Linked DNA regions of Oryzias latipes. The protein of the gene in region 2 interacts with the protein of the main gene of each other region in a pairwise test. Links are inferred from orthologs where the notes say so. Each region holds a gene or a part of one and is shown on either strand. Other genes may lie near its edges. The genes, in order: rfx3, fhl3 and mrm3.

The links.
Region 1: the proteins of fhl3 (region 2) and rfx3 interact in binary tests that used the Homo sapiens proteins (3 or more experiments, as listed by UniProt). The two-hybrid records come from large-scale screens. The link is inferred for Oryzias latipes from reciprocal best matches to the Homo sapiens genes FHL3 and RFX3.
Region 3: the proteins of fhl3 (region 2) and mrm3 interact in binary tests that used the Homo sapiens proteins (3 or more experiments, as listed by UniProt). The two-hybrid records come from large-scale screens. The link is inferred for Oryzias latipes from reciprocal best matches to the Homo sapiens genes FHL3 and MRM3.

The regions. Positions count from the first base shown.
Region 1 is NC_019870.2:13,046,791-13,050,517, forward strand, and holds the start of rfx3 (transcription factor RFX3), read right to left. Parts: upstream 2,908-3,727; 5' UTR 2,598-2,907; intron 1-2,597. UniProt on the Homo sapiens protein: Transcription factor required for ciliogenesis and islet cell differentiation during endocrine pancreas development. Essential for the differentiation of nodal monocilia and left-right asymmetry specification during embryogenesis.
Region 2 is NC_019874.2:23,737,269-23,741,021, forward strand, and holds the start of fhl3 (four and a half LIM domains protein 3), read right to left. Parts: upstream 2,811-3,753; 5' UTR 2,523-2,810; intron 1-2,522. UniProt on the Homo sapiens protein: Recruited by SOX15 to FOXK1 promoters where it acts as a transcriptional coactivator of FOXK1.
Region 3 is NC_019871.2:10,297,082-10,300,834, forward strand, and holds the start of mrm3 (rRNA methyltransferase 3, mitochondrial), read left to right. Parts: upstream 1-1,532; 5' UTR 1,533-1,742; coding exon 1,743-2,110; intron 2,111-3,143; coding exon 3,144-3,388; intron 3,389-3,461; coding exon 3,462-3,623; intron 3,624-3,701; coding exon 3,702-3,753. UniProt on the Homo sapiens protein: S-adenosyl-L-methionine-dependent 2'-O-ribose methyltransferase that catalyzes the formation of 2'-O-methylguanosine at position 1370 (Gm1370) in the 16S mitochondrial large subunit ribosomal RNA (mtLSU rRNA), a conserved modification in the peptidyl transferase domain of the mtLSU rRNA.

The DNA.
Region 1 (3,727 bases), on a different chromosome or scaffold from region 2:
ACTTTGCTGTGATGAGCTGCTGCGAATACGATGCACCGCTCCTCAGAGGTCCTCTTGGTTTATCAGGGAGACAAGTGCGACTCCACCTTTCAAATCTTAAAAAACCTCCTCAGAACCCAAACATTGGTGGATTTCGTTTAGGATCGTCTCCCAGCCTTTCCTGTTATTTGAACGAATCGTGCAAATTTCTATTGTTAGAAATGTCAAAACATCCCAGAGCCGTCTAATCTACGGCCCCTGAAAGCTAGTTTCATTTCATGGCAACAGTTTCCAACTGTATGGTTTGCTAAACCCCATCTCTTAACTTTTGAACTGTTCTCTTGACACACATCCATCTGTCAGGCGATGAAATACTAGGACTCCTCTCCAGCAGGGGTTTGCTGTATTGTATAACAAGCAAACCAGCTGTGATTGCCTGTGCACAGATTTGCATCTGTGTTGTGCCAAACTATTTTCAGTCATTCAACTCGCTTTAATTACATTTATGTTTTTCAATTAAATCCATTTTATTTCCTACGTTCTTTTATTTTCGTTTGCTGCAACCTTAGATTTAATATAATGCATAGCCTTTGCACATTTACGGTACACACACACACACGCACAGACAAATCGCAATATGGATTTGGCTTTTTTAATCTGAACTCTACAGCCGCAGTTCTATGCAAGGACTTAAATTATTTAAAGACTGCTGCAGCTGTTACACAATTGTTCTAATTTTAATTTGTTTGTTGCTGCAGCTGACATTTAATATACCTAATTTGCAACAGGGGACTGACTCATTTTGATTGAACTCTATATTTTGACAGTATGAGTATGACTATTACTCACTCAATGAAGTAAACCAGATCTAAAAAGAGAAAATAGTTTTGTTTTTTTTGCGTAAAGAAGATTTTTGCAATAAAATAATTGTTTGGTTGTCACAAGAACATTGAGAGTATATAAATCTAGCATTACAATTTTTTTCAATCTGTACGAATTTCCACCTGCTGAGCACAGTGCATCAAAAATGAACACAAAGGAAAGCAAGTTAATAATGACGATTGGCCAGCACTGGTTTTAGCTAAAAACTCAATGTAGCGAATCAAGGAAAGCACTGAAAGTCATCTCTTGGCACGGTGGTGGTAGGATGATAATTTAGGTGTGTTTGGAGTTTAGATCTTGCAGCCAATGAGTCATTTATAAATTTTTCCTTGTGCCAAAATATAATCGTTTAACAAAACATCCTTTATCAGTAGCTAAAGCTGTTAAACTGCCTTATGCAACAGGTCAAACACACCAACAAAACTACAACAGCTGAATAAATAATTGGCTTAAACAAAAAACTTAAGGATGGAAAGAAAAGAAAAAACTTTTTACAGATGGTCTTAAGACAGGTGACGAAGTAGCACTGCTACTACCTCTGTCACAACCAGAATTCACCCTTGTGTGTTTTTTTTTTATTGCAACTCACACACACAGACAAAGATACACAAACCCATGCACACCTGTTCCCTCTCCTAATGGGAAGGAGAGGCTGCAGGGGAGCGGGAGACCAAGTGGACCCAGGAGTAAATGTGATGCAACACTTAGAAACTTAACATGGAAAAAAAAAACGACTGGAGGATCATGGGGTCTCCCCAGTTTTTAGTTTTTATTCTGTTTAATGGCAGAAATTGAAACAGCAAATTGGTGTGTTTAATTATAGTTAGAAAATATGAATAAACACACTGAAAAAAACCAACATTTTTTCTGAAAATAAAACAACTTTTTCTTTTTTATTAACCAATACATTTTTTTGAGTAAATATTGTGAAAAAAAGCACAGAGCTAGTATTTAGAACATCCTGTATTACCTCAAATATTGAAATACATTAATATAAATCTGATTGTGTAGTAACTGATCCCTACAGAACTGATGTTATCGCGTTCTTATCATTATTACCAGTTGATCCCACAAAGAGCACAGATGGAGAGCTAACGCCGCGATCTTGCTCCCTAAGACAAAAGGGAAAGTAAAGGCTCAGCTATTGTGAACCTATTAGAGAGTGAAAGCCCAGCGAGCACACACCACTTTCCTTTGCTAATCGACGAACAGATTTCTTAGCGGCAAAAAACGCTGAATCACCCGACGCGGAAACACACAACCCGACCGTAACATTTACCCGAAAATGGGACAGCAACAGACATCGCTGGCGTTAGCAACCTAGCAACAACAGACACCTGCTCCAGCTGACCAGTTAGCATCACTGGCTAGCCTTTGCGACCACTCAGCATGGCAACTTCAGACCAATTCTCTGCGAATAAAAGCTCGTTTTTTAGAACAAAATGGAGTCGGGCCGGTCCGTAAAGCTTTGTAAAAGGCTACACAGCCGGTTTCTGTTGGCGACCAGGACGCCTCGCCTCAGTTAGTATCCACAGGCAACGTTAGCACGCAGGCTAACACGTTACAAAGAAACACCCTCGCTAGCAAAACTACCACAGCTACCCAGCGAGCCTTCATCCAACAGCAGACAAAACGCAAACCAACAGCATCAAACCCCCCCTGATAAAATTCATATCCTGTGACGCCGAGGAGCATCTTACATTTATGCTAAAAATAGTCAAGGATTTAAATCAAACCTGAGCCGTGGACTGGTTGATGAAGATGAGGATGATGGAGGAGGTGGTAATGATGGAGCGAGAGGTTGTTGTTGGTGGGTTACAGTCGCCAGGACTACGGTGACTATGGCGCTGCCTCACCGGGCAACAGTTGCTATAAAACTCACCGGCAGCGCGCAACCTTAGGTGGGAGGAGCGCGCGGCGATACCTACGGCAAAAATCAAAAAGGAATAAAACGATTTCAACCATCGATGAATTGATTGGACTGCTTCTCTTTCGGCTTTTGTCTTTCTTTTCTTTCCTTTTTTCGGGGGGCATGTACAGATAAATTCCCCGATATTTTTCTCTCTCAATCAAATTACTTCGAAGTCTTGACTTAAATAATACAAAAATAAATAAAATGTATTTAGCCATTACTTTGTTTTCCATGTTATTACAATGTTGTGGTTGTTTTACACTGCAGTATATTTATCAAAAATTGCATTGCAATTGATAAATCGTGTATACTTCTGTATCATATTTAATTTAAAGGTGAGAAATTATATATTTTCATGCACTCAGTTGGAATTTATATATATATATATATATATATATAGGTTTGGGAAATAAAAGTAAAAGAACATACAAATCTATGTACATCCACTTGTAAATGATGTCCTTATAATTACTCTTAATCATAAATAGACATGATTGTACCTATACAATACATAACCCATCAAATCCATTTAATGTGAAGTTTCTCAAAATGAATTAAATTATTTGCTTAGAAAGGAATGTGCGGAAGTCAAATTTTATAATCCCACCCCTATTATGCTCATGTTGTTGATTAATAACTTTATTATTATTATTATTATTATTATTTGCTTAATTATCGATGTTCTTTTGACAAATATTAATGCATTCAATAATTTAATGTACTCAATTTATTTGTATGTATGTTACTATATTTATCATTTAAATATTATTTTCAGCACTTGCAGACAAATGGTGTCCTTCTTTTGAACTAAACTCGGGTGCAAAAGGTGAAACTATTTCATCAAACCAGGTTTTTTAAAGGAAGAACAATGTTAAAACAAAGCAGGCATTGGCTTCTGCTGGACACAAAGCCTAACAAACCACCTGTATCCAACACACCGCCTTTCTTTTTATT
Region 2 (3,753 bases):
TCCCACTGGGGCCCTGGCTCAGGGGATAGAGTTTCAGACATTTACCAACAAAGCATCCACGGAGGAAGCCTTGCGACCCTCACAATAACACTACAGCACCTGGCAATCCCCTCACAGGAAATCTGAGGTCACTTCCCCCCTTTTTAAGGGAATGCAGACACACTACAACAGCCAGCCACGCGCCCCCACATCCTACCAAGGAGGGAACTGACTACCATAACAACCAATTTAAACATGCTGAAGTTCCAGTGCTACACTTTCATACACACACATATATATATATATATATATATATATGTATATATATATATATATATACACACAAAATGACAAAACCAATATTATTGTTCTCATAGCTGTTTGAGGAGGTTCAATCCAGGGCACTGCATTATGGTTTTATTGTCATAGCACCTTTTTTTTTTAAATTCCAAAATATCTTTATTGTGATTTTCAAAGCTTTATATGTTATAGCACCTTTAATCATTTTTTTACAGAAAAAACCCCAAAAAGATTAGAACCAAAACCTAATACATTACGGACTTATTTAACTTCACCAAAGCCTTGTGATGGAATTATCGGGCCGCATCCCGCCTTTGCCCTGAACTTTTGACACTCCACAAGGATAAGCAGGTACTGATAATAGACAGTGCCACCAAAATTATAACTAATTATTACTGAGACCTCAATAAGTAAGCTTTTCAAACAGGCACCTGATTATTGGGTTGTACTTCACATTTTGAGTGAAGGTGGAGAGTAAAACTATGTAGAAGTTGAAGACAAACGAAACTCTGTGATGTAGGACTGTTGATCAGACACCCACACGTGGGATTTTAAGGCACTGAGCAATTACACGAGCACAAATTGTGCCAATGGAGGAACACACAGCTGCACAATGTCACAAGAGGACTACATCAACGCAAATTCCAATTCTGCTCTCAAAAACCACCTGCAAACACTTGACCGCCAACTCCTCCATCATTACCATTGGCCAGGTTTCAAATGGTGCCAACACATAAAGGCTGCTAAAACCAGTTCAAATTATTTGGTTGCAGTCCTGCTGCAGTTTTGGAACTGGCCAGAGTCCAAAAACCACGCAGAGCTAACCTTTGGAAAACACTGGGACCTCTGAAGAATGTGACCATGGTCAAAGAAATGGAGGCGGTGGGAGGAAAAAAGCAAACAATGACATTATGCAGCTCTGTATGCTCTGTCAAGGCAAACTTCCCAGATGCTAAATGGAACCGAATAAGAGACATGTAGTTAAAGGGTGTTTCCTCTGCTGGTTATCCTTACTGACCATGTAAGAAAAAAACCTGTAGGTGGCAAGAGCACCCCAGCACTCCTCAGACCAAAAACTTTTAGAAGAGGCATACTACAGCACCATGTTGACTTCTATGTCCAGGCTGCAGCTGTATCTTCTCTTGCATCTACTCACAGTTGGATCAGGAGATTTTCTTTTTGTCTACCACGCTGGAGACAAACCAGCAGATTAAAATGTATGTTCTATACTGCAGAAAAAGGATTGCTTATGTTTAAGAGGAGGACATTGACATTATTTCTTTTTATTCATGCTGCAGTTTGTTAGTTGGGTCAAGATCATGAAGAATCAATGCAATTTTTCTCTGTCTGGAAATCAAGATTAAGTTGTTTGTGAAAGACCTTTTAATCTCCCAAAAATTCTGGGATTCTCTTGCAACCGATGTCAGAACAACCCCCAGTTCTTTCTTTGCTGCCTGTTTCAGCAGACTATATTCAATCAGAGCTTAAGGAAGAGCTTTTTGTGAACCAAAGGCATCGATTTAAAACAATCTCTTCCTCTATCTGTTATACAGACTGTTAAACTTTTTACAGTCAAGGCTGACCACCTCACCCTCCCACTGCACCCACATGACCCAGCAGGTGAGCCAAACTGTCATCACAATGACACGTACCATGAGGTGCTGCACGACTCCAGACGCTACAGCATAGACACACCCATTGCACACTCTTACTGCTATTTGCCACTTTCCCCTTTTGCAGAAAAAAAGAGGCAAGTTTCGCCTGTGGGACTTAGTCCTGTGAAGGCTTCACTTGGAGCTCAGCTTGAACTTCTCTGACAAAACAGTTGCTCCTGAATCCTTCATATGCACAGTTCAGAGGGTCACACAAGCTAATATGGTCTGTTTCTTCATCGGAAGGATGTTATTTATATTTCCTCCGCCTTGTACACTCTACGAGTGTACAGAGGGACACAACTGAATTACTGAATGAGAGGGAAGGGAAAAAGTTAAAGACAGCAACAGCAAATTTAGACAATGTCTAAACACGCAACCAGATACTTCTACTTCAGGAATTGTAGATATTTGGTTGAGCCTACTCTCAAAACCCTTTCCCCCCCAACTATACTTTCATTCAGTCATAAAGGACTAAGTAATGGACTTGAAAGAACCCAGATTATCTTATATATTCATACACACCTGTGTTTGATTTAGGATCAACAGGTTACTCAATGAAAATGATGGAGCCAAAATGTCTCTTCTTACCAGTCAGACTGATTGAAGTGTGGAGGCACCTTTCCAAGCTGCTGTGGTGGTGATCCAGCCGCCTTCCTCCCGTCAGCACACGGCCGCTCAGGTCAGCACACGGCCGCTCAGGTCAGCACAGGGATCAGCTCACAGAAAAAGCTCAGGAGTGTCGCTCTCCGGCTCTGAAACGTTCTGTTTTATCTGCTTGTCATTAGCTCGTGCTGGTTTGCGGCGCCTTCCATTCGTGAAACCCGGGTTCGACTCCGGTCTGCTCCCTGTTCCCTTCTCTACCTCTGCCGGTTCCAAGCCCGGTTTGAGAAGGTTGCGTCAGGAAGGGCATCCGGCGTAAAACATTGCCAAATTTACCATGCGACTTGTTCGCTGTGGCGACCCCTGATGGGAGAAGCCGAAAGTGGAAGCAAAGCATGAAAACTCTGCAGCACAGAGGGGTGCAGCTTGCCGGCTACTTTTGTCCTACTACTGAGGAAGTTGCTGGTGAGTCACAAGATCCCGCCCCCCCAAAAAAGGCATTCCTCCCTCCCTCTTTCCAGCGACTTCAAACAAGAGTGGAAAAGGCCCATGCAGGCAAGAGGGGAGATTCTTGCAAGGCTCTTTTGTCTCTTCAACATTGCATTGCAGTGGGTTATAATAGAATTTTGTTTGTTTTGAGTTTAGAGCAGAATATGTGAAGCCTGCATGTCATGAGATGTTTGAGTGTGTGGACCACAGGTGCTGGAGGCTTCTGAAGGATTTCTTTAAAAATAGCAAAACCATCAATGAAATTACATCACAGGATTATATGTATTATTATTATGGTTGTTGTTTTGAAAGGGAGGGACATAAACAATCCTTCCAAAAATGACCACGAAGGGTTAAAGATTGATCTAATTGTTAAATTACATTCCTCTTTTTTTTACAGTGTTTTAAGTTCAAATGATTCATTTGTGTTAAGACAAACGAATAAGTCGACTTATTCAGGATTAAGCTGACCTATGCTCTGACAAAGTGAATGCTCTTTACTTCAGTGTTAATCATTAAAAACACGAATCATTATTAATTTAGATTTTTTTAATAGAATTTAATGACATTTTACAAAGAAAATGGAATTAACTATTCAAACTCATGCATTGCCTTTCCTTTTAAGATATTTTCTCTCTTTTTTAAGACAAAAAAGACAAAAAACGCTTTCTCTTTACTGTTGATGTAAGACTCCTTTTTTAAATAAAAGTGGGCTACCACTTTTGTTTGT
Region 3 (3,753 bases), on a different chromosome or scaffold from region 2:
CAATTCTCCCTAGACTGCTCGATAATGATAACCAAAATCAGGTGCGTTCAGTCAATCAGGATGTGAAATCACTTGAGTCAGCCAATCAACAGCAAGCTGGTTAAGGAGAGCTGGAAAACAGGCAGGGTTGAGGCTCTTCAGGACCAGGGTTAACATAATAGGCCTCCATCTGATTGGTCAAGAATGGGAAGGCGTCCATCTGATTGGTCAAAGCATAAAGGGATTTATTTGATGTGTTAAATGCTTCAAGCTGCTAGAAGATTGTTTTAACACATTTTGGGTTTGCGATTTATTGCGATATTCGCCGTCTTTTGCGATATGCATATTGCAGAGCTGGATATTGCGATAACGATAAATTTGCGGTATATTGTGCAGGCCTAATTGATACATCATTTGTTTTTGTTAAAGAAGAGAAACAGTCAGCCTTAAAAGCTCAAAATTTAATGAAATGCATTGTTGCAGGACTTCTTACAAATAAAAAAATTATTACAAAGAATTTGTAAAATAATTTCTAAACATTTAGAAGTTTTAAACCTTTTTGACATGTACTTTAAATTATTTAGAAAACCCAACAATAAGTCAATAATAATAATAATAATAATAATAATAATAATAATAATAATAATAATAATAATAATAATAATAATAAAATAGTAAGTCAATAAACAATAAATAAATAACAAGTCAATAAATAATAAAAAAATAAGTATTTATTATGATAACAATAATAGTATAAATATTCAAAAGAAGTCCAAAAGCGAAAAATAGATTTACCCTAAAAGAACAACAATAACAAAAACAAAGAAAAACAATAGATTTATACTGATTCATGTGAATGATCAATTTGTGTAACACAGATGGTATGGTGTTGGGTTTCAAGCAAACAGTCTGGCCTCTTATCTAAATGTGTTTCCACAAATGTTTTGAACATAGCCAGACTGTATTGCTAGTTGGTTCCACAGTGATCCATCTGGGTTAGCTCTTTTGATAACTAAGATCCACTTTTTCCTTAAGTCTGAATCCATTGGAAAACTGCAAGAAAAGTTCAGTCACTGAGTCAGAAATGTATAAATCTGTATTACTATAATAGCCTAGTATGCTGTATACAGGTTTAGCAAAATAAAGTGTACATTTATGTCGACGGCAAATTCTCCGTACATCATGCAGCATGTTGATAATAGCCCTGCAGCATCATGCATGTCAACATGTGTATGATTAATGAAGCCCCTGCAGCATTAATTGATGAAAATTCCAGTACTTACCTGTGAAATGATATACCTTCCTCCTTCATGGACTCAGTTCTCTGATTTCGGCAGTTGAAACCCGCACAATGAACTGGTATTATGCAAAAAATGTGTTCACATGCATGCACTGCAGTAGTAACTTGACCTCATCAAGATGGCGGTGCTCTCCTCCCATGAGGAACCACGTGATGTCTCCTCTAGTGAAACAACTCATTGGTATCGCCTAACCTTGGCGACGTCTTTTCTCGCGAGACAATTTGAAAAACTTTGTTAAAACAAAACTCGATATTATTGAGTCAATAACTTTAAACCATGAGAAACACTCAGTAGCTTGCAGAATATATTAAATAACTCGAACATGATCGATTAAACTCTTGAAATTTCCTATTAAAATGTGACCAGTACCAGCCAATTTGCACTTGATGGCAATAACGAGCACATGTAGCTTTTTAGAAAGAATAAAAAATAAAACAGAAGAAGACTAGCAAAAAAGAAAAAATGGCGGCCGTCATGAGAAGCATGGTTTGCCTTTTCCCCAAACAGCTTCTTTCAAAAAGCTGTGGCTTAATAGTGGAACCAAGACGTTTTGTCCGCGGACTGAGGAGAAAACCTGCCAAGGTTTTATTTCCTGAACAGCAGACGGGTAAAGTGGTGAAGCCAGCCCCAGAGAGCGATCAGACTGCAGTAAACCCACAGAGGAAGAAGACAAATGTCACCTCTGCGACAGCGCAAACGGACAAAAAGAACCCTGTGAGGATAAGAGATGATGCAGATTCGACTGTGCAGCATCCCCGGGCTGCTGGCACGAAAGATCAAGTTGATGGGTTGCGCTTTGAAAGGGCTTCTCAGGGAGACAAAAGGCTGGCGTGAGTAAACAAACTCAGTGGGTTGGAGAACTGTTTGGTAGATGTTTGGATGGCCAAATGCCTCGTTTTTTATTTGACAGTCTGGTAACATTAAAGTTGGTTACTGGTTTCAGTTGAAACTTTAAAATCAGGACGAAGGTGACCAAAAGCTGCATTTCTGCTTGTTTTCCTACAAGTCCTGCTCTGGCATGTTCTGTCTAACTCTGGTTCTGATCCTGGTAATCAAGGCAAATATTTCTGGAAAACATGCAGACACACCAGCCTTTGAGGTCAAGGGTTGTCCACCCCCGTTTAAAATGAATGGGTGTGTGTGGAGAGAGTGGGGTTATTCATGCTTTTTGTAACCATAATCTCTGGGAATGTCATCTAAGATGCCAGTACCTCAGCACTGGTCAATTTTTCTTTGTCTTGTAAAAACAATTCTGACAGTTTCCATTTACATTCACACTTTGCATTTTATTGAAGTCTCATTTTGGATGCGAGGGGTTGAGGGCATTCTGTGTGTTTTAGAATTGGATTTTTAATTGTTTTAAACCTGTAAACCACTTTGTGTTACTGCTTTATGAGGAGTGCTTTGTAAATAAAGTTTGACTTTGAATTTGAAGTATCCACAACAGAACCAGTTCAGATGTACTTTGTGACTTAAATGTGATTTGTGACCAGAACTGTTGTCCGTGTAGATAATCACTGGCTGCCTCTTGCTGGCTTTCAGCAAAGCAGAAAGTGCCGTTTGATCGCTACAACCTCAGAGGGTAGTTATGCAATTTGATGCCAACAATGAGGAGATTGCTGAACTAACCGTCTGGGTAACAAGAATACATTGTATGTTTAGCAATTTCACTTAAAAATTTGTTTCCTAATATTGCCTCTATTGATAGTATTGTTGTCCAATTAACCAAAATATGGTATCTTTTTAAAACACTATCACGCTCCAAGTTTCAAATTAAAGCTATATATGCTTTTTTTTTTATTCCAATAAATTCTAAATGGCAAACTATTGTTCATGGCTGTTCTCCACATGCTTGTGCTGCAGGAAGCTAGTGAGTGTTGCTCGGTCCAGGACATTTCGGGAGCACCAGGGTAAAATCCTCCTGGAGGGCAGGCGTTTAATCTGCGACGCTCTGCACGCTGGAGCCATGCCGCAGACGGTGTTCTTCAGCACAGTGGATCGACTCAGAGAGCTGCCCTTGGACAAACTGAAAAGAGCTGCGTTGGTGAAAGTCAAATTTGAGGAGATCAAACTCTGGTCTGACGTTGTGGCGCCACAGGGAGTGATAGGTATGGGTCAGTCAGTTCTAATGAACAGACATTCTGAGTCTTTTTTTTCTAACTTAGAAACTTTGATCCGCAGCAATATTTTCTCGGTCCGACCCGTCACGGCTGAATTATGCAAACAAAGGTCAGTCGGTGGGACTCTCTCTCATCTGTGACAACATTCGGGACCCTGGTAACCTTGGGACGATGCTCAGGTGTGCTGCAGCTGCTGGTTGTAGTAGCATCCTTCTAACAAAAGGTATACCAATGTTTAAAAAAAAAAAAAAGTTTTACTCTGCTTGTAGTTTTACTAATTTGTCTATTATTTGCCCAACAGGCTGTGTGGATGCTTGGGAGCCAAAAGTCCTGCGTGCTGCAATGGGTGCACA